2 linked regions of the Pelodiscus sinensis genome follow. The protein of the gene in region 2 interacts with the protein of the main gene of each other region in a pairwise test. Links are inferred from orthologs where the notes say so. Each region holds a gene or a part of one and is shown on either strand. Other genes may lie near its edges. The genes, in order: DUSP12 and CCNH.

Region 1 (11,137 bases), on a different chromosome or scaffold from region 2:
CTTAGTTACTGTCGCTAATTACTCAGGGATTTGGATGTTCTTCAAGACATTTTCCCCAACCCACCCAAGATTTTGTGATTTCTTATGGAAATCCCATAATCCGTTGCCCACTCATAGAAATGTGGCTGATAATCTATCTTGCTGTGCTCTCTGGCTTTAGGGATTTCTGCTTTGACAGCCTGGATGGGAGAAGGGAATAAATGTTCAGAAAATCCAAGGCCATGTCCAGACTCAGGGGTTTTTTCGGGAAAAGTAGCCTTTTCCCGAAAAAACTTCCCCTGCGTCCAGACTCAAGCCGCGTTCTTTCGAAATTATTTCGAAAGAACGCGGCTTTTCTTTCGATGGCGGTAAACCTCGTTTCACGAGGAAGAACGCCTTCCTTCGAAAGTTCCTCTTTCGAAAGAAGGCGTTCTTCAATGTAAAGAGGCCGTCTTCGAAAGAGAGCATCCAGACTCGCTGGGTGCTCTCTTTCGAAAAAGCGGATTTCTCTTTCGAAAGATCCGCCTGCAGTCTAGACGCGATCTTTTGAAAGAGGCTCTTTCGAAAGATGCTTTCGAAAGAAGCCTGCAGTCTAGACATAGCCCAAGAGCCCTCTAAGGTGAATACTGAAAGGAAAGCTGCAGCATATTAAGGCATTGATCTTTATAACTAACTAAAGTGACCTGCAACAAGGCAGGCAAACTCTGAGCCAGGGCCAACTCACTAGTGAGCTATGACAGTGAATATGTTAGAGCGACAAGGTGGGTGAGGTAACATCTTTTATTGGAGACAGAGACAGAAGTTGGTCCAATAAAAGATATTACCTGACCCAGTTTGTTTCTCTAATGTCCTCGAATTGACACGGCTACAACAACACTGAATACAACAGTGACTGAGGCTATGTCTACACTACAATGATCTATCGGAAAAAGGTATGCAAACTGTGAAGCGCAATTTGTGTACCTTTTTCCAATAGTTTTTTCAGCCAAATTTTGGAAAAGCCTCTTCTTTCAGAAGAGCCCTTCTTCCTTGTGGGAGGAGGAAGACAGGGCTTCCAAAAGAGAGCATCTGCTCTTCCGCAAAAAAAAGTGGAAGAGCAGATGCGTTCCCTGGACATGGAAGAGTTTTTCCAGGTATCCCAGAAAACCTCCGTAGTGCAGACATAACCTAAGATGTCTGTTTCATGTAAAGACTAGAGAGCTTTGTTGGGAACTGCCAACAACTTTACTTGTTAACTTATTTTAAAGGTGAGGCACAATGTATTTGTCAGCATCTGTTCTGGGCTCCCAGAAAAGTTTTTTGCTGCAGATGCCTTTCTAAGAATAAGGGATAATGTGAAAGACATTTCAAAGGAACCCTGAAGTGGTATTTTTAAAATAGGAGTCTTTTCTTGATTTATTTGATTTGTCGCTATGCAGATCTATTTTAACTTGATTCAGTTCCAACCAACCCAATTCTTAGATCCTATGCAGCAAGTGGCTGAATTTCCTTTTCAGAATAAGACAAGCTCAAGCCTGCCCCCTGCTGACACTTTTTGCTATTTGCATACTATTCCCGGGAAAGGAAATACCAAGTATTCTTAATTTTTGAGACCTTCAGAACATAGGCTATGTTTACACTACAGAGACATCGAAGCTGCCACTGTTAATCTTCCAGGGTTCAAATTAGTGGGTCTAGCTAAAACAGCTAATTTGAACTGAGAGAGGCACTCTGGTTGATGCCAATAGACCTGCTTCCACAAGGAGTAAGGGAAGTTGAAGGGAGAACATTCTCCCTACGACTTCCTGCAGTGTGGACAGCACCAAAAGTCGAGTTAAGGTACTTCAACTTCAGCTATGCAATTAATGTACTTGAAGTTGTGTATCTTAATTTGACCTTAATGTCACCTAGTGTAGACATACCCCTAGTTACTGACTTCTGAGCACAGTGGAAGAAGAAACAAAAAAAGGATCTGTTGTTCCTAAAGCCAGTCTCAGGTGATAGAATACCCCATTTCCAGGCTACAGGTGAGGCTGATATAAGAATCCATGTACTGTTGCTTTGAAACAGTAGGAAGCCAGGCAGGAAGGAAATGGGGAAGGTAGGCAGATGCTCTGCATTGAAGAGTAGACAATGAAATATTAGGGACAAAACTGTTTTCCTTATGCAACCCAAAGGTACTGAATGACTCTGGGTTACTCTTACTATAAAACCAAATTCCCTTTTTAGTGCTGCAAGAAAACAACTTTCAGGAATTTGTTGCTATTGACACAAGAGAGCTTCTATCCTGCCCTTGGGACTCACATAGAATATGTAGCTACTGGCAGCTCCAAGAGTGGAAAGAGCCATAATCCTTCAGCTATGTAGAGGGTAGTCATGGCCACCACATGATCCCTCATACAGATCAGGCTGACTCAGTTCTGGATTCTTGAGTCTTTTTCCTGTAGTCTCAGACCTCACAAAGTCCTCCTTTCAAAGCTCTGTCCCTGCTCACCCAGCTCAATCCTACCCCATGCAACTTTATAGCATCACTGTATGTGATACAGTGAAATGTTTCTATGTGGGACACTGATGTAGCTCAGTTGTGGGGTGTGATTTTACTACAAATTTGTGTCTATCATATTGTGTATGTATATTGGGGTGGGAAAAATTCAACTTATGGGCTGAGTTCGGCTTGCCAAATTGCTGGATCAGCTCGCCACCATCCCATAGCTCAGCAGGAGCCTCAGGCAGCTTCCCTGCCTGCCAGACCCCCACACTCCACTCAAAGCGGCCAGCTGAAGGGGGCCATGTGCACCTCTGCATGTCACGCACTCAGGGGGAGAGCTTTGCATGCTTCCCTTGCCCCCAGCACAATCTCTCCTCTCCCACTGACTGGAAAACAACCAATGGGAGCTGCCTGGGCATGGGTAACGGGTATAATAGCTGGGGCAGGCAATGCCTTCCCAAATGGCCAGGCATGGCCCTGCCCACACTGCACCCCCAGAACACCTACTGTTTCTTGTACTGAAGCAGTAGGAATTCTGGGGGAGGAATGTTGATGCCCCCAAGCTTCAGCCTGTGCTCCGAAGCGGGGATTGCTTAAGCCACGCACCACCTGCCCTCCCTGTGATGCTTTGGGGCCAGAGAGGCTTGGGCCCTCCCTCCCTGTGGTGCTCCAACGCCAGGGCAGCTCAGGCTGCACCACCACCTGCTTTCTCCATGCTCCAGGACTAGGGAGGGTCAGGCTGTGCACCGCTTGTCTTCCCCATGGTGCTCGGAAGCTGGGGAGGCTCTCGTGGGACATGGGGGCTGAAGGTTTGCCCCTGTGGTGGGGGGAGCTTGGCTCCCATGTGGGGCCTCACGTGGAGAGGGTGAGGTTGGGAGCTTACCTCCCTCAGCCCTACATTCACCTTCTGCCCATAGCCTGGCCTGTGCTTGCAGTACATAGGGTTACAAGATGGCTTCAAAAAATACCGGACACACTTGTTCTCAGATGCGGGGGACCAGCCGGGAGGGGAGGGGGGCTGGCTGGGGGAAATGGGCGGGGGAGAGAACTGGCCAGCGAGAAGCAGGGATGGCCGGGAGAAGGTCGGGGGGAGCGGGGCTGGCCGGGGAAGATGGGGGGGGGGGGGAGAACCAACCAGATGGAAGCAGGGCTGGCCGGGAGGAGGCCGGGGGGAGTGGGGCTGGCCGGGAAGGAACCGGCCACCGGGAAGCAGGGCTGGCCGGGAGGGGATCGGGGGGAGCAGGGCTGGCCAGTGGGGAGCGGGGCAGGCCTCAGCCCAGCCCGGGCACATGCAGATCCCAGGGTGCTGCACATCCCATCCCGCGCATGGTCCCATAGGAGCATGAGCAAGTCTGGCCCTGGGGATTCCATCCCGCCCCGCCTCTACCCGCCTCCTCTCTACTGTGTAGTTGCGTACTGCCTGGCTGGTGTACACACTCACGCAGTGTGACTCATGCAGTCTACCAGCCAGGTAGTATGCAACTACGTACTGATGCTCATAATAATAAAACTAACCTAATTAGAAAATACCAGACATTTCTGTGTCCGGTATTTTCTCAATTTATTTCCTGGTCAGAAACCTCAAATACCGGACTGTCTGGTTCAAAACCGGACACCTGGCAAACCTAACAGTACAGGTAGTGCATGGAAGGCCATCCCATCAAGGGAGGCATGATGAGTGGCCTGAGCTGCGACAATTGCTGAGTTGCTGGCTGGGAGCCAGCTAAGATAAGCACCTCCTGGTCAGAGCCTGCACCTGGCACTCCACCCCTTCCCACACCCCAACTTTCTGCCCCAGGTGACAACCCCCTCTTACACCCTTGCCCCAGATCACAACTCCTCCCAGGCCCTGCACCCCCTTCTAAATCCCTCTTCCGGGTGAGAATCCTCTCCTGCGCCCATATCCTTTCTCAGACCTTGCACCCACTCCTGGACCCTGCCTCCCCTCCCAGACCCAAATCCCCATACCCGGATCACAATCCACTCCTTCACCCAAGCTCCCTCCTGGACTCATCACCGTGTGCTGCATCCCAATCCCTTCTGCACCCAACCACCACCCCAGACCTCTCATCTCTTCCATTAATGTAATAGAAAAGTGTGGACCTTGATTAATTACCAAATTATTGGAGTGCACCCCCCCAAAAAAATTATTGCCCCCTGTTGATATATATGCAGGTCTCAGTAGTGTATGTGAAAGGTGACCAGGTGTCCCAGTTTTATAGGGAAAGTCCCAATATTGAGGGCTTTACCTTATACAGGTGCCTATTACCATCCATCCCATTCCAATTTTTCACACTTGTTTGGTGGTCACCATATTTACTTGTGTGTTCAGATATGGTGTGTCACAGCTGGGGTGTTTGCGCTTGTGAATATGGTGCGTACATGCACAATTTGGCTGACGGGAGTGTGTTTAAGTGTTTGTGGATGGGGTGGGGGTCAATCACATATGTACAAGTGTGTGTGCGAGCAACACCCAGAGAAGGGAAAAGTGGAAACTGCCTGGGGGAAGAGGTAAGGACATCTCGCCATCAGCAAGGAGCGCCAGCCTGGAAGGTGCATTTTCATCTGTAAAAGTGTGTTGGTCATGCCAGGGGTGTGCAGTGTCAGCCTGAGACACTCTCCCGCCAAAAGCTACTGCCGCTCATGGGGGCGGCTGCTTGTGCCTGCAGGGGAGCAGGTGCAGCGCAGGCCCAGCCAGAGGGGCGAGGGGCGGAGAGGTGACACGTGGCGGAAGGAAGCAGTGGGGGCTGGTGCCAGTGAGCTGAGGGGAACTAGAGCGGAAGCCGCCATCTTGGTGGTGACAATGGGTGGAGCAGGCTGGACGCCGCCATATTGGTAGTGGCGGTAAGGGGGGGGCACAGGCCGGAAGCCGCCATGTTGGCGGGGGGGGGGGGGGAAGGAGGGGGAAGAGAGACAAAGGCCGGAGGCCGCCATGCTGGTGGTGGCGGGGAGGGGACACAGGCCGGAAGCCGCCATGTTGGTGGTGGCGGGGAGGGGACACAGGCCGGAAGCCGCCATGTTGGTGGTGGCAGGAAGAGGACACAGGCAGGAAGCCGCCATGTTGGTGGTGGCAGGAAGAGGACACAGGCAGGAAGCCGCCATGTTGGTGGTGGCAGGAAGAGGACACAGGCCGGAAGCTGCCATGTTGGTGGTGGCGGGGAGGGGACACAGGCCGGAAGCCGCCATGCTGGTGGTGGCGGTGGGGGGGCGGCCGCGCTAGGAGCGTGGCAGCGGGCGCGAGGCCGGATGGTGCCGGTGCTGCCCGGCCTGTTCGTGGGCGGCGCGGCGGCCGGGGTGGGGGCGCTGCGGGCGGCGGGGGTGGGGGCGCTGCTCTCGGTGGACGCGGAGGCGCCGCCCCCGCTGGCGGGGATCCGGGCGCTGCACATCCCCGCGCGGGACGAGCCCGGCGCCGACCTGCTGAGCCACCTGGACTCCTGCGCCGCCTTCCTCAGCGCGGCCCGGGCCGGGGGCGGCGCCGCCTTGGTGCGCTGGTGAGCGCGGGGCGGGGGTGCTGCATTGCGGGGCCTTTCGCTCCTCCATCGGCCGATACGCGCCGCCGCCTCCTCTCCCGCGTAGCGACCGCCCCGCTGCTTCTGCGAGGCGAAGGCGAAGGCGATGCTGGGAGCCGGGGATCAGATGGGGGGGTCCCCTGCTGGTCCCGGCCTCCCCAGACACTGCCGCTTTGAAACGCTGCGGGAGCCTGGAGACACCCCAGCTGGCCCCGGGCTGCATGGAGCCGGGGTCTGGCCCCGGGCTCTGCCGTTTTGAAGTACCTTCTTCTCTCCCTCTCTCCCTCCCCCCCTTCTGGTAGAGCAGTGTTTCCCAATTTTATTTGGCCATAGATCCCTTTTAAACTCGAAAGAATTTTGCGGAACCCCCACTGACTGACTGCGCGAAATCCCTGACTAACTGCGCACACAGCGCTGAGGAGAGACATCATGGTCCCCTATTTCCAGCTAAGCTGGCATTACACAGGGACACTTACCGTGGTGCAAACAAATGAAAATTGTTCTCAATAAAATTAATAAATGCTTAAATATTAAATTTTTTTTTTGGTAAATCATAAAATGTTATTGTAATGGAATTTTCTCGCGAAACCCTTATTTTCACTTTGCGGAGCTCTAGGGTTCCAGGGAACACCATTTGGGAAACCCTGTGTTAGAGGCAGCAATGGGGGGGAGTGACTAGTCAACTAGCCTGTTGACTATCCAATAAGCAAATGTTTATCCGCTAGTTTGACTAGTCCTTCACATCTCAGGCAGCTGAGCCTTGGCATCAGCCTCAAGCACTCCTCTTTTCACCTGCTGGCTTGGCCCACTCCCCTGCCAGTTGGTGCTCATGGCCCAGCTCAGCCATCAGCAGAGCCAGAGCATTAATTTCCCCCCAAGGCAGATGGGTTACAACTTAAGCGAGGCTTGACATGAATTAACTGCCCTGGTGTATTTGCCCTCGTATTGTTCACCAAGTTCTTTGTCTTTCAGCCATGCTGGAGTCAGTCGGAGCATTGCTTTAGTGACGGCCTATTTAATGAAAACCAACAATCTCACCTTCGAAGAGGCTTATGCCAAGATCAAGGCTATCAAACCTGATGCCAAGTGAGTTATTTGTCCTGCTAAGATTCCTGTCTTTTCTCGTGCGGACTAATGTGTACGATCTCCACAGCCTGAGGAACAGGCCTCTGACTTTCCCTGTGGTTCCAGAATGAACGAAGGCTTTGAGTGGCAGCTGAAACTCTATGAAGGAATGGGCTGTAAAGTTGATGTGTCCAGTGCCATTTACAAACAGTATCGCTTACAAAAGGTTACAGAGAAATATTCTGGTGAGTGAAGGTAATGTCTGACAGTGTGTTCAGGGGAGCTAAAGACCTATAGCTAAGAGTGACTGAAGACTAGACTGGCATGATTTTCCGCAAATGCTTTTAACGGAAAAGTTTTCCATTAAAAGCATTTGCGGAAAAGAGTGTCTAGATTGTCACGGACGCTTTTCCACAAAAGCACTTTTTGCAGAAAAGCGTCCGTGCCAAACTAGACATGCTTTTGCGCAAAAAAAGCCCTGATCGCCATTTTCGCGATTGGGGTTTTTTTACACAAAACAAATCTGAGCTGTCTACACTGGCCCTTTTGTGCAAAAGCTTTGTGCAAAAGGACTTTTGCCCGAATGGGAGCAGCATAGTATTTCCACAAGAAGCACTGATTTCAGACAGTAGGAAGTCAGTGTTCTTGCGGAAATTCAAGCGGCCAGTGTAGACAGCTGGCAAGTTTTTCCGCAAAGCAACTGCTTTTGCGGAAAAACTTGCCAGTCTAGACACAGCCAAGGTGTACAAGGATGGTGTATTACCTATCTCCTAGTGCAGGTACCTGATCCATGACTGAATATATTAGCGCTGTCTGAACCAGTCCTTTCGTTACACACTGCTGGTTTTAATCTAGATGAGTTTAGCAATTCTGTTGATTAACATCAGTGTATCTCAGAGCAGCTGCTCAAATACCATGGTGATTTGACCATGTAAAAATCTTGATAGTCAGAGAACTTTGCATGTTTGTATAAAATTTTGTGCACTGGAAGGCATCTGTACACCTGGACAAGATCCAGATGTGCTATTTCTAGATACAAAGTTTCTTGTAATTAGCACAGTGGAATTCCCCTTCTTTGGCATGAAAGGGTGAAGCTCAGCTCTTAGGGCTGGGATGGGCAATTACTGGCCCCTGGGCCAGATCCAGTGTACCAGGATTAGTCTCTGGCATCTCCCCCCCGCCCCATATTTACCTGCCTCTCCGCAGTTTATGCGGGATCATAGTTCCTGTTGGTAGCAGATTGTTGTTCCCAGCCAATAGGAGCTGTAATCACCTGAACCTGTGGAGGTGCAGGTAAATATAGTGGCAGCAACCCACCAGGGGCTAACCCTGGTGAACCACCGCCACTCACCCTGGGGGTCAATTAAGTGTTCAGCATTTCTCCTATCGACCCCATGCAGTAGAGATCTCCCCGCAACTCAACCTATTATTTCAACTGCCGCCACGGTATTCATGTAGCTGGAGTTGTGTAGGTTGATATCACTCCATAGTGTAGAACCACTCTCAGGAACCTCCTAAGAAGGGAGAAGGTGTGGGTAGGAAGTGTGATGGCAAAGCCATAGTGCTTTAATTACAAATCTCTGAATGACTGATTTATATCGCTCCCTCTCTGTAGAGCTGCAAAACTTACCTCAAGAAGTCTTTGCAGTTGACCCAACCAGCGTTTGTCAAACTCTAAACAGTGAGATTCTCTACAGGTGCAGAAAATGCAGGTATGGGGTGTTTCATTTCTCACAAAGTGTTACTTTGAAATGAACTCTTGTAGGGAAAATAGTCTTTTTAGCTTACAAGTTATTGGATTTGTGTCTCAGAACAGAAATACACCCTTAAGACATTTTCAATCAAAAGGATACATGGTACTTTCCTTTGCCTAATCTTTGTTTCATGATCATAAAGTCTTTCAAGCTCTGAAATCCCATAGAACCCATAGGGCTAAGTATATGCTGGCCATGTCCACATTACTGTCTATAAGTAGGCACAACTCCACTTACGTTGTTCCAGTTTACACAAAAATTAAAACTGAATTTACTAAATTGAAACTGCTCAAAATCTCAGCGGGGGATCCATTTAAATCTACATCCACAAAAACAATGAGGAGGCTTGTAGCACGTTTAAAGATCAACAGTTACTTGGGCATAAGCTTTCATGGGCAAAACCCCACTTTGTCAGATGCACCTGACTCTGAGTTTTACCCATGAAAGCTTATGACCAAATAAATCTGTTTATCTTTAAGGTCCTACGGGGTTCCTTGTTGTTTTTGCTCAAAATCTGACACTCCCACCCTCTAAGATTCTTTTAACTCCATAGGTCCATAGCTAATCTTGTTAAATTTGGCCTCTTGATCATAGGAATTTATCCTATTTCCAATTTTCTAGCTGTATATTTCCCAGACATATGTACCTAGATGATCTCGTGTTTCATTAGCTAGGAGTTTGCTAAAAGTAGCTACATAAGCAACAAAATGTAACTATGGGAAAAAGACCCAGGGCTGCATATTAGATATGCTGCGGTTGGGAGGACCCCTTCAAATGAAAAAAGAAAATATAGATTGTATGACTCCAGTCGTTTGCTGGTGCTACTACTGCCTCGTGCTATATTATTGTCCAGGTTCTAGGGATGTAAAATCCTGTTTAATTGATGAACTGCCTGAATGTTATGTTTAACCACCCCACCCATGGGCAGCCCCCCCACCTCAGACAAGGGCTGCTCCAGCCATCTGGACTAGCCTCTGCATCTGGTGGGAAGGCGTTGGGGCTGCCACAGACAGGGGCTGCTCTAGCCAGCTGCCTAGAGCAGTCCCTGCCTGAGGTGGGCCCTGCAGGCCTGGAGCAGCCCCCTGCCTATGGCAGATGATGTAACGGTTCACATCCCTACTGGTTACCTTCAGCTTTTCTCTCTCTTCTCTCATGTTCTGGAGGATAGACGTTCCCTCTTTCGTAACTCGAGCATTTTGGCCCACACTGAAGGAAGTGGACCAGCAGCCTTTGCTCACAAGAGGATTACAGATCCTGCTCAACTTCGTAATGACAGTCAGGTCAAATGTACCTCTTATTTCATTGAGCCGGTACAGTGGATGGAGCCAGTTTTGTTAGGAGTGATGGAAGGACAGGTGAGAGGAACAAGCACTTGACATTGTTACCTATGAAACTCCCTTAAGAGATGTTCTCACTTTTTAAACATTGTTTCTGTGCATCTGACCACACTCCTTAATATTGCCTGGTTTTACTGTTCTTGTGCAAGGTTGCTGTTACAGCTACAGTCCTTTCAGTCTTCACCATCTCTGAAGCTCATTAATAAACTGTAAATGTCATCTTCTCCCACCTAGTACAAGCAGCAGAGCTCCAACTTGGCAACAGTCATCAGGAGCCATTGGCCGATAGAGGGTGATACCCAAAGTAGACTGCTTCAGGTATCCTCCATGACAACAGATGATTAAGTTGTTGGACACCTTTTAATAACTCCACTGAGTAAAATTGTAAAATATGCAGCAGAAGGTGTTTTCAGAGAAACCTTGCAGAATTTCACTCACCATGTGAAAGGTTTCAGATTTTCTTTTGGTAAACTAGGTGGTGGGTTTTTTTTCTTTTTCCCCCCATTATCACCAAAATGAAGGACGGTAAGTAGATTTGATGCCTAGACTGGTGAGCCTTCATGATAGTACTAAGTTAATCCATTTCTTTGCTGCTTTCTCAGCTCTCTTCTGCCCTCTTAAAATCCCAACTTGACATTGAGTGAAATTGTACTGTCCCACATTCTGGACAAAGACGATTACATTATTCTATCTACGAAGTGCTCCTAATCAATTTCACTTAAAACTTTCCCTGTCTTTCAAACTTTCTGTGTACTTTCCCAGGCTGTTTTAATGGATTCGCATTCTTTCCCCATTTGTGTCCTTATGCCAAGTCATTTCAAACAGTTTCACTATTGTAGATGCTAACCCTCCTTTACTGTAGTTTCTGCTGCCTGGAGTAGCTTTCTTTCTCCCCATATCCTTTGACTTTACTTATTTTGTCCCTCTGCTATTTATACAACTGCATTCTACTATGTAGAGTATTTTGGGATAGTCCCACAGCATGAAATGCTATGCACAATAAGGCTTTATTGCAGAAGTTCTCAA
Region 2 (11,074 bases):
AGGGATGTTAAAAAGTGGGGGGAGGAACATTTTTTCAGTGGTTACTAGGGAAGTGATAGACTGGTCAACTATCGATAAGCAAATGCTTATTGGGTAGTTGACTAGTCACTTCCCCCCAAGTGCTGCCTCCATCAGATAGAGGCAGCAAGGGTGGGGAAGAAGAGGGGGTACTTCAAAGCAGCAGTATCACTTGAAGCCTGGGGCCAGACCCTGGGCTCCACACAGCACTGCTGCTTTGAAAAGCCACGTGTAGCCAGGGGCTAGCTTGGGTGTCCCTAGGCTGCATGCGGCATTTTAAAACAGCAGCACCACGTGGAGCCTGGCATCAGCTAGGGACTCCCGATCCCCCCCACCCCCCTCCCACCCCGCTGCTGACCCCCCGGGTTCCATGTGACACTGCCACTTTGAAACGCCACTACAGCATTTCAAAGTAGCAGCGCCACACAGAGCCCAGGGTCAGCGGGAGAGTCCCCAGCTGACCCTGGGCTCCACACAGCACTTTCGCCTTTGAAATGTAGCAACAACCCTAGTGCTGTTGCTGTACTTCAAAGGCAGAGGTGTCCTAACAACTAATCAAACAGTTGATGCAAAATGCATCAACTATTCGAATAGTCAATTACCTGATACTTAACATCCTTAGTGGTTACACATTTCCATGTGGGGGCATCTCCGCGGAAGCCAGTAGGCATGGAGAACCAAATTTTAAGCCAACTCCTGTGAACACCGGCTCCTGCAGAGCCACGTCCCCCTCCAGCCCCTCACACCATGCCATTTATGCTGCTGCCTCTGTATCAGCTGCTGCCTCCCATCTCTCACTCCACAGTGCTACCTCTGATACAGTGGCAGCAGTGCAGGGTGGGGCCTTTCATTTAACTGTGAAGGTTAACCAATGGGCCCAGGCCCATCAGGTTTTTATTTTTAAAATGGTTATACTAACACAGGGGTGGCCAACCCATTACAGACAAAGAGCCAAAATAGTAGTGGATACAGCACAAAGAGCAGAGTTGTTATAAAAACGTTATTGAGGAGAGAAAGAAAAAAAAAAAAGCCCCACACCAACGCCCTTTTAAGAGGAGAGCAGTCATTGCTCTTTTAAGGTGGCCATTTTGAAGTTTGCATGGGATGCATGACTCCAGCTCTGTCTCTTTCAGACAGAAACACACTGCCCCTTTCAGAGCCGCGAACCACAATTTTTAATTTGAAGAGCTGTATGCAGCTCACGAGCCGCATGCAGCTCACGAGCCACGGGTTGGCCATCCCTGTACTAACACGTCTCTAATGACAATATTGACAAACATTACAAAAAATTCAAACTGTCTCAATTACTCACATTATTATTCGAGGGTGATACTCCATCACTGAGTTATTCAGGTAAAAACGTTTGAAATACATAGTAGCCGTTCCCTAAATACAAGGAGTCAGTAAGTTCCAATTGGGCATGATAGCACAAACAGCAAATAGATAATGTTCAATGCAGAGAATATACACTTTTTAATCCACTAGTCAGATTTCAACCTTCTCTAAGAACCTTCTCTAAGGTATTTATTGGCTCCCACCATAAAATCAGCACCTAGCCACCTTCAGCATATTTTATCCTCAATAACCCTGCAAGATAATTAAGTATTGTTATACCTTGCACTCTGCCCACACAAAAATAAGTAGGGTGTATAAGTACACACAGGGAAGTGAGGTGCAGAGAAACGGAGGGCTAGATCCTGAGGTTACTGCAATATTTAACTCTTAAGTTATCTGCTGGACAGTAGACCCCTCAGCCCTGAATAAGGCGCTTTAGCTTCCCATAGAATGCAAAAGAGTTAAGCACTTAAAGGGATCCTTGTAAGTCAAGCTGAGTAGTGAGCCACTTAAGCTACTCAGCAGAAATACTGACACAAAGGGCAGGAGCTAAACCCAAACTCAAAGAAGCATACACACCCAACTCTAGACTGAAGGGGGCCTTAACCATTGTGCCATCATTCCCCTCTATCCATTACACATCAGCATCTTGAAAAGACACACTGACATGCAGTCCAGTAACCACCCCCAGTTACTCTGTCATGTTTCTATTTCTATTGAGTTTTTTGTTGGATGTTTAGCTAAAATGTTAATTTGTAAGAAATTCAGATTTCTCCAAGTTTGACTGTTGTCCACCCACCTATTCTAGAAAACAGGTCACTAATTCTAAATGAAAAAGTACCTTTTGTACCACTGAATCCATTTTAAACCTAAAATTTTTTCCATGAGCTCTTTTTCCTTAACACCTCAAATCCCCTCTCCATTGGTTAGATTTGTAGATGAAATATTTTGAAACATGAAAAACTTCAGACTATAGTTTGAGAAGTAACGCCTTGGATTAAGGATGTTAAATATCAGTTAATTGAACAGTCGAGTAACCTCATGACATTTTATCGGTTAGTCGACTAGTCTATAGTCCCGGGGGGGGGGGGCAGGGCCAGCAGCCACTGTATTAGAGGCAGCAGCACGGGGTGAGAGGTGTAAGCTGGTCTGCAAGGGGAGCTAGTTTAAAAACCAGCTGCCCTTGCTACCTGGCTTGCCTGTCACCTTGCGCTGCTGCTTTTAAGGAAGAAGCAGCACTACAGGGTGGCAGCAGTCCCTGTCTCGGGGAGGGGAAGCAGGGGGGAAAAGTGTCTGAGCTCCTTGACCCGGTGTGAGACAGGACTGAGCTGGGCTGCCTGACCATCCAGCTCCTAATACATTTTAAATGCAGAGCTGCAGTAGGGGTAGGTCTTGGACCTATCACAAGCCAGGACTGTGAGACAGGCTGCTAGCCAACCTGCTAAAAAATTTACTGGCAGGGAGAGGGAAATGCATGTAGTCTATAACGTTAACCTATAAGCTTTTGCTTATCGGTTAATCAGCTATACTATTACATCCCTATCTTGGAGAGAAGTTTGTTTGTTTTTTTGTTTTTGTTTTAAAAACACAACATATGTAAGTTTCTAGAACAAAACCAACAGGGTTAACCTTCGTCACACGTAGCACAGAATGCAATATAATAAAGTCTGTCAAGCACAGAATCCAAAAGAAAAAAAACTTAAATCTGAATTTCTTTCATCAATTTACTTTGTCAATTTTACATGCAATAATCTGGCACATAAGAGCAAGGATCCCTCTAATCTTTTCCATCCATGTGTTGAATAAATCTTTCTACTGCATGTGAAAATGTACACCACCAATATAAACAAAAACCTAGCTGTGGGCACTCTGATGAACAGCCAGACAGCATCTGAATCTATCTTGAGCAGCCATGCAAATGCACAGACTACAGGAACACACAGCACAAGAGCAAGAGTCACTAAAACTGATTCAGTCAGTTGTAAATTTTCCTCCTCTACACTTTTGCTCTGGAAGGGAGTCAGCCTGAGCAAGAGTATTTGAAAGACTTGCCACAAACTCTACTGGCCTGATCCAACTCCCATTAATCAGAAAACACACACACTTGCATTGATTCTGGACTAGCGTTTCTGGTAGCAGTACCCAATAATCTCAACAAGAAACCACCCACAGTTAAAACAAAGGCACAAACCTAAAAAAAGCCAATGATGGAAATATCAAGCCCCTCTCCCCCGAGCTCTTTTGGTGACAGCAAGGCTCAAGTCCTTTCATTCCCCACAAACCCAATGCTCAGAAGATGCGACGAGTGCCCCCAGAGTCATGGCTTGCGAGAAGCTACTGAGGGTGCTGGACGTCTGGGTGTCTCAGGCCAGGGGCAGTCTGCAAAGGAAAGGCCGCGTCCTTTCGGTACCCAACTCACCACCACGGATCTGGGCATGGCAGGTTTGAACACGGAGCAGAAATCCAGCAGTTTCTTCTCATAGTATTTGCAGATTGTCAGCTCCTCCCGGGTCTCCAGCAGCAGCGAGTCGTTCTGCCGAACCTGAGGACACGGGCAACGTCACCCGGGCGGGCTCGGCAGCTGCTTCGGGCCCCGCCGAAACGCCGGGGCTCGCCCCTACCCGCTGCCCGGCGCAGCTCTGCTGCCGCTGCCCCTCCCTTCGCAGCCAGCGGCAGCCGCGCCGAGTACTCGTGACACGCTGACAGCTGCCGCCGCGGGGATCCCCCGCGCCCGGCTCCAGCTAGGAGGTCCCCGGGACTGACCCTTCCTCCACACGCCGCCGCCGCCGCCGCCCCAGTCCCGAGCCTGGGCTCTGTCCGAGCGGGGCCGATCGGTACCTTTCCGTTGGCCACCGCTTTGCAGCGGAACTTGCGGTTGGCGTCGGCCCGGCAGCGGACCAGCTCCTCCTCGCTGCGGAAGGTCCAGTGCCGCCTCTGCGTGCTGCTGTGGTACATCCCGGCCAACCGACCGCTCCTCAACGGGCACCTGGATCGCGCGAGCGCACACAGCCCCGCGAGCGCACGCCACCAACGCACTAGAGCGCTTTCAAGCCCAGCCTCACACCCCACTGCGTAAACTAGCTCCGACATATCCCAGCATGCCTCGGGGCCCCATGTGTACTACGGATCCCAGCGTGCAGCGCGCCTCGGCTTCTCCCAACCAAGCTCCGTAGTGCAGCCCCGAGTAAACTACAATTCCCAGGATGGGCAGCGACAGACTTAACCGGCGTTCCGCGCTCTACCCAGAGGCAAGTGGCGTCTGCAAGCGGGTAGTAAGCGAGCAGTGCATGCTGGGAGTTATAGTCTCTAGCGCTGCAGGCTGGGTAAAGGTCGAGCACGTTAAAACTCCGGACTTGCGCTCAGAGCTGGAGACAAAGCAATGGTCAATACTGACTCTGGCCACAAGTTAGCACCTCAGTCCTTGGCGTTTCTTGTTGCAGTCCTGGTACCACCGTGCGGTCTTTAAAAAGGAGCAGATTTGGGGTATTTTTCAGCAATTTCTTTGAAACAAAGGCCCACTCCACTGTAACTGGCTAACCTGTAAGCAAGGCAAAGGTCATTCTGCAAAAGCAGCGCAGAGTCCTGTGGCACCTTATAGACTAACCGAAGTGTAGGAGCATAAGCTTTCGTGGGCAAAGACCCACTTAGTCAGATGCATGTTGTGGAAATTTCCAGAGGCAGGTATAAATATGCAGGCCAGAATCAGGCTGGAGATGAGGAGGTGGATCCAATCAAGGAGGATGAGGCCCACTTCTAGTGAATTCCAAGAATTCACACCTCCAGATCAGCTACTAGAAGTGGGCCTCATCCTCCTTGATTGGATCCACCTCCTCATCTCCAGCCTGATTCTGGCCTGCATATTTATACCTGCCTCTGGAAATTTCCACGACATGCATCTGACTAAGTGGGTCTTTGCCCACGAAAGCTTATGCTCCTACACTTCGGTTAGTCTATAAGGTGCCACAGGACTCCTCGCCGCTTTTGCAGATTCAGAATAACATGGCTACCCCTCTGATAAAGGTCATTCTGTGCATCTTTGGCATCCCGGGTAAGAAAGTAGGTCAGTGACTTTGGCCTCCTAGATGAATTTGAAGGCTCGGCCCATTTGCACATAGACTATAGTAGTACATGTAAGATGTACATAGATAAACCATGTACTTTTTTCAACAGAGCTTGGAATATGAATTTTTATGAAAAATTACCACAGACTTAATTTCAATCCCTAATATTTGTGTATGGACTCATTGCTGACCCATGCTCCTATGTATTCCTATGGATTCCCCACTCCATTACATAACCTAGCTATAGCCACCATTATTGTATTTTCTAATTTAAGCTATTCTCCATTTGTATTTAATTAAAGATTTATTCCTAAAACTGATTACTGTCCTAAGTATTCCAAAGGGTCATGTTATTATCACCACTCATGTTCAATTAAGCCAATAATAATTCTGGTGAATTTCAACTCTTTGTGAGGTTGTTCCTGCAGATTTCTATTTAAAGTGTTGTAAGACATTCTGGGCAATTGAGCCAAAATCTCTCATCACAAGCTGAACTATAGGGGGAAGAGGGAAGAGAAACAGGAACTGGGTTGTCATAGGGGTTTCTTTAACTATCTACTGTAGAAGCAAAAACACGCTCCTCTGTGTTTAGACAGCTAACAAACAGCTTTATTAATTAATAAAGCACAGCATGAGCCAAACGTGGTCACAGCAGAGCCAGACCCAGTAAGGCTGCTAATACAATCAATTCTAATATCTTTATACCCTTAGCCAAACAGTCTGACGTCAGGGCATCCAATTACAGAAATCCTCAATTAAATTTGGAAAAACCAAACCTTATCAACAAGATGGCGGACAGGTGCGAGGGAGTACATCTCCTGTCCCAACCAGCCTAATTAACACATACCAATAGCCCATCCTGTAGGCCTCTTCTCACGGGGTGACAGAAAGTTCACTCTGGTCTACGTGCTTGAGAGAAAAGCTGAAATGGTTTCTGATATACAAGATGGCTTCTAGCTAAACATGAAAATGGTTTCTACAGCTTCTACACTACTCTTAAGGGAGTTTGTATGTGTATATCTGTATAGTTATTGCAGGGTGGGCAAATTCCAGCCTGTGGTTCGGATCCAGTCTTTAGGGGTAGTTTCTGGCGTTTAATCCCTCACCTCCATGTTTACCTGTGCCACTGCCGGTATCGTAGGATCACATTGGCTGCAAACAGCGATTCACAGCCAACCAGCGCTATGATCCTCTGATACCTGCGGAAGCATAGGTAAACATGGAGGCGGTGACCCGGTAGGGACTAACCCCGCGGCCTGCTGTTTTTTTATTGTCCACCCCCGTTTTATAGACATACTTGCTGACAGGTATTTTGAAATAAGTTACCAAAATATATGAAACTGGCATGATTATTGTTGGTTCTTGGTTCGATAAAATGGCAGGAGTCCCAGAGGCTTAAGGCCAAATACCCAGTGAAAATACAGAATGATGGCAAAACAACAAGTTTTACTAAAGAAGGAGTGATTTATTAAGCTGAACAACTTCCTAATATTTACTTAACATTTACCTAATATAATGAACAACTACCTAATATTTACCATACAACAACTTTTAAGCCCTACCTAAGTTACAGCTAAGTCAAATATATACACACTTAAAAAAACTGTTTCTTTAACACTGACAATAGCAAGGGTTTCTTTAACACTGACAATAGCAAGGGTAAAAGTTACCACAGAGCAATATTTTTTCTAACCTGGCTCTTTTAAACAACTTAACAACAGTGGGGGTAAATTAAATACTTACAAACTCAGCAACAACAACACAAAGACACACAAGGAAACGGAGCATGCTCGAGATTGTACACCCCTTTTTAGACTTTTTAGATCGGTGGGTGGGAGGCGGCCTTTGGGTGATCAGTCCTAAGCCAGACTCAGATTCTGTCTTCCAATATCCCGGAGTCCTCCCAGAGCTAAGGGCAGAGAGGTTTTTATGTTCTTGCCTATTACCATATTTGGTGGTGTTTGTGCTCAGGGAGTGGCATGGGAGCAGTTTGGGTGTGGTGTGAGGCCCATATATGGTGTTGAGTGCTGGACTCTGACAAGCTCCATTTTATTGGTAGATAAGCCTTGTTGCTATCCATGTGAGGTGGTGAGGTTGCTGAGGTAGATCTGGCTATAGCTGAGGCCTGGCCAAGAGAACCCATACTTGACAATTATATAGTGATAAGTTGACAAATACCTTTTGGAGAATTTTGTAAAATATCGTGCACAGAATTTTTAATTTTTTGGTGCAGAATCCCCCAGGAGTAATGTAGGTACCAGTTGTCACCTAAAGAGAAAAAGATGACAGAACTCATATGGGAAACTGACACAAATCTAGTCTATTTAAAATATTAACTTTTGAAAGAGAGTTAAAGAAAATAAGAGATGTGAGAAAGAGAATAGACTAAAAAAAGAAAATGCTGTAAACCAGAAGAGCCAGATTCTAATATCCTTACTCATATTGGATAGCAACTGTACTCCATGAGTAGTTCAAAGGCACTTCTCATAGAGTGAAGTTCTATTCTGTGTAAGTAAAGAAATAGAATCTGGACAAGAGAAAGCAAATGGAAGAAGAGCAGGAAAAAAAAAAACAGGAGAGAAAGGCAAAATAGACTTTTTAATAAGCAAATTGTGTTTTAATATTTACTTGTTACTGATGGAACATTAATGTTTTCTTTTTGGCAGATGACACATTATCAGAGCATGATTTTTGAAAAATAGTTTGTGAAGTGATTTGTTTTTTTTTTTTTTAATTTCATGGAATAAAGTTATAGAAATCCTCTATAAATCTGAGTCACAGGGTAAACTGAGTCTTTTAAGGATATATCTACACACTACAGTAAAACTCCGATGGTCTGGCATCTGATGGTCCGGCACTCCTGATGGTCCGGCACCATCAGGAACCCAGAAGTGCTCCGGGCAGCTGGACCATTGGAGCTGCTCTGCCCCCAGCTTCCCCGATTCAGCCGCTGCTAAAACTGACCAGTGGATGAATCGGGGAAGCCGGGGCAGAGCAGCTGGGGCACTGCCGGGTTGGTCCCATAGCACTGCCCCCAGCTGTCCCCGATTCAGCCGCTGCTGAAACTGATCAGCGGCTGACTCCAGGAAGCCCGAGGCAAAGCTGCTCTGTCCCGGGCTTCCTGGAATCAGCCCCTGATCAGTTTCAGCAGCAGCTGACTTGGGGACACCTGGGACAGAGCAGCTGGGGTGCTGCCGGGTTGGTCCCACAGCACCAAGGGTTGGCGCTAGCAGACCAACCCGGCAGTGCCCCAGCTGCTCTGTCCCAGGCATCTGGATTCAGCCGCTGTTGAAACTGACCAGCGGCAGACTCCAGGAAGCCGGAGGCATCCCCCCCTCCCACCCCAGACCCCTCATAGCCCCCCCTTCCGATAGTCCAGCAAATCTGATAATCCGGCACCCCCTGGATCCTAAAGGTGCCGGGTTATCGGAAGTTTACTGTATTTTGGAGCCTGCAAAAATGAGCATCCCAATCCAGGTTAACACACTGAGGTTAGAGAGGTTCATGGTAGTGCCCTAAAAATAGTTGTGTATCAGCATTTTAAAGTTGCAGCTTGGACTCTAAAGCCTAAAAAGAGGGTTGTATTTGGGGAGTTTGGAGATAGCTGGCACTATATTAATAAATGCACATTCTAAGGAAAATACGTTGGGGCATTCCATGTTTTATGGGACTATGCTTATGAATATGATATACCTGCTTTATGTGAGATACTTCATGTGAGATATTACTGGAAAACTTGTAATATGCTGGATATAATTAGGTAAGTATGTATCATTTATTTATTTGAAGTTAAAAATATGAAGTATAATCCTGTGTTATTAATGTAGTCATGCTAAGCGAGGGCCATTAGTAATACTTAATGACCCTATACTCAGGACAATGATCTGTGAATAGACTTGTTTTTCCTTTAAGCCTGGGAGGAGGGTATATGTGGGCGGGAGGGAAATCCACCCAAGACATGTGACTACATCACCTGATGTTGGGACCCATCTTGAATACTGTATTTTTCCACAAAATAGAGAGAAAAGTTAGACTGAAAACAAAGGCTTCCTGCCTTTTGCAAAATCTGTTTGGGGGGGGGGGGGGCGGGGAGTGAGGTAATCTTAGTTATCCATTCTCTTTGGCTATCCTATCAAAGATAACTGCTGGACACGTCTAAGACCTAGTGGGGGTAAGGACTGGGGCCAAGCTGGAAGGCTTTCCCAGTCTGTGAAAGCTCATTTCAAACTGACCAAAGTTTTCAGTAAGCATGTGCTAAACCTTTGTAGAACAATAATACTCATCTGATTGATGCATCTCAACCGAGGCATTCAAGAAGCTACCTAGTGAGCATTCAGATTCAAATACATCCCTTACCCACCTCTTCTATCCAAAAATTTATTGAGTTGTGTGAGTGATGGTTAATATGTGAGAAGACTATTGTGTGGGCCTTCTGCACTTTTGAGTAAATTTCACTTTTAATAACCAGGTTCCAATCCTGTAAATGTGTATATATGTGCTTAATATTTTGCAAGCATACAAATGCTTGAAATCAGTAGGATAATTGAGGGCTTATGGTTAAGCATGTATGTAAATGTTTTCAAGGTGAGGGCTTAAGGCGGTTTCTGATAACCTGAAATATGGTTAGTGTCTACTCTTTCCAAACCAAATGGAGAACAGTGTTCAGTAGCCATGCACTGAAACTGTTACTTCTCCGTACCAAAAAGCATTATTTCTTCATTGAAAATCATTTGCTATAACAAAATATTCTCTTTTTTTCAAAACCATAGATTCCAAAATAGGTGCACATTTGTTTGCCTAATTTATTCATGGAATGACTGTGATAGGATACATAGTCGTAGGAATTGTGGGTATAAATAGCCAGTCAATCATTAAAAGAGAATATTGTCCCAAAGTAAAAAAAGCATGTTGTCACAAAATAGGGATGTTAAGTAGCAGTTAATAAGCTAATCAAGTAGTCGATGGAATTTCCATTGACTACTGGATTAGTCGATAAGAGGGTTAGCTCCCACGAGTGGAATAAGCTGGGACAGAGCAATCCCGACTCACGCCAGCTCCAGGACTGCTGCAATTCTGCCTCTTAAATGTAGAAAAAGCTGCCTGGCTCTTACTGTATTTAAAAGGCAGAGCCGCAGCAGGGGACCTGACTCAAGCTGGGACTGCAGACTGCTGTGGCTCTGCTTTTTAAATTTAGTAAGAGCCTCCTACCTTATTGGGTAGTCGAGTCTAGGCTTAAGAGTTTAGGCTTATTGGTAGTTGAGTCACTACTTGACTTCTCACTCCCCCACCTTTGCTGCCTCTGATACAGCAGCAAGAGAGTAGTCGACTACTCAACTAGTTGCTTACATCCCTATCTCAAAGTAAAGGCCTCATCTTACTTCATTGTTTTGCTAACTGGATACAACAATAATTTGAACTTCTATTTCCATCTCGGGTTTCCAAACCACTTTAAGCCTCATAACATCTTTAAAATGTATTAATATTCCCACTTGTGAAAGGCCAGACAAGCAAAGGCCCAGATTTTTCCAAACACTTTGGCTATGTCTACACTCGTGGCTTCTTGTGCAAGTGTTCTTGCGCAAGAACTCTTGCGCAAGAAAATGTCCACACTGCCATGTGCGAGCTGTGCTTTTGCATAAGAGCGCCCATGGCAGTGTGGA

The links.
Region 1: the proteins of CCNH (region 2) and DUSP12 interact in binary tests that used the Homo sapiens proteins (3 or more experiments, as listed by UniProt). The two-hybrid records come from large-scale screens. The link is inferred for Pelodiscus sinensis from reciprocal best matches to the Homo sapiens genes CCNH and DUSP12.

The regions. Positions count from the first base shown.
Region 1 is NC_134711.1:141,149,750-141,160,886, forward strand, and holds the start of DUSP12 (dual specificity protein phosphatase 12), read left to right. Parts: upstream 1-5,643; 5' UTR 5,644-5,692; coding exon 5,693-5,937; intron 5,938-6,927; coding exon 6,928-7,041; intron 7,042-7,146; coding exon 7,147-7,265; intron 7,266-8,635; coding exon 8,636-8,732; intron 8,733-9,937; coding exon of another isoform or gene 9,938-9,942; coding exon 9,943-10,129; intron 10,130-11,137. UniProt on the Homo sapiens protein: Dual specificity phosphatase; can dephosphorylate both phosphotyrosine and phosphoserine or phosphothreonine residues. Can dephosphorylate glucokinase (in vitro).
Region 2 is NC_134716.1:76,316,194-76,327,267, reverse strand, and holds the start of CCNH (cyclin-H), read right to left. Parts: upstream 4,433-11,074; 5' UTR 4,309-4,432; coding exon 4,192-4,308; intron 3,896-4,191; coding exon 3,773-3,895; intron 1,405-3,772; coding exon 1,331-1,404; intron 1-1,330. UniProt on the Homo sapiens protein: Regulates CDK7, the catalytic subunit of the CDK-activating kinase (CAK) enzymatic complex. CAK activates the cyclin-associated kinases CDK1, CDK2, CDK4 and CDK6 by threonine phosphorylation.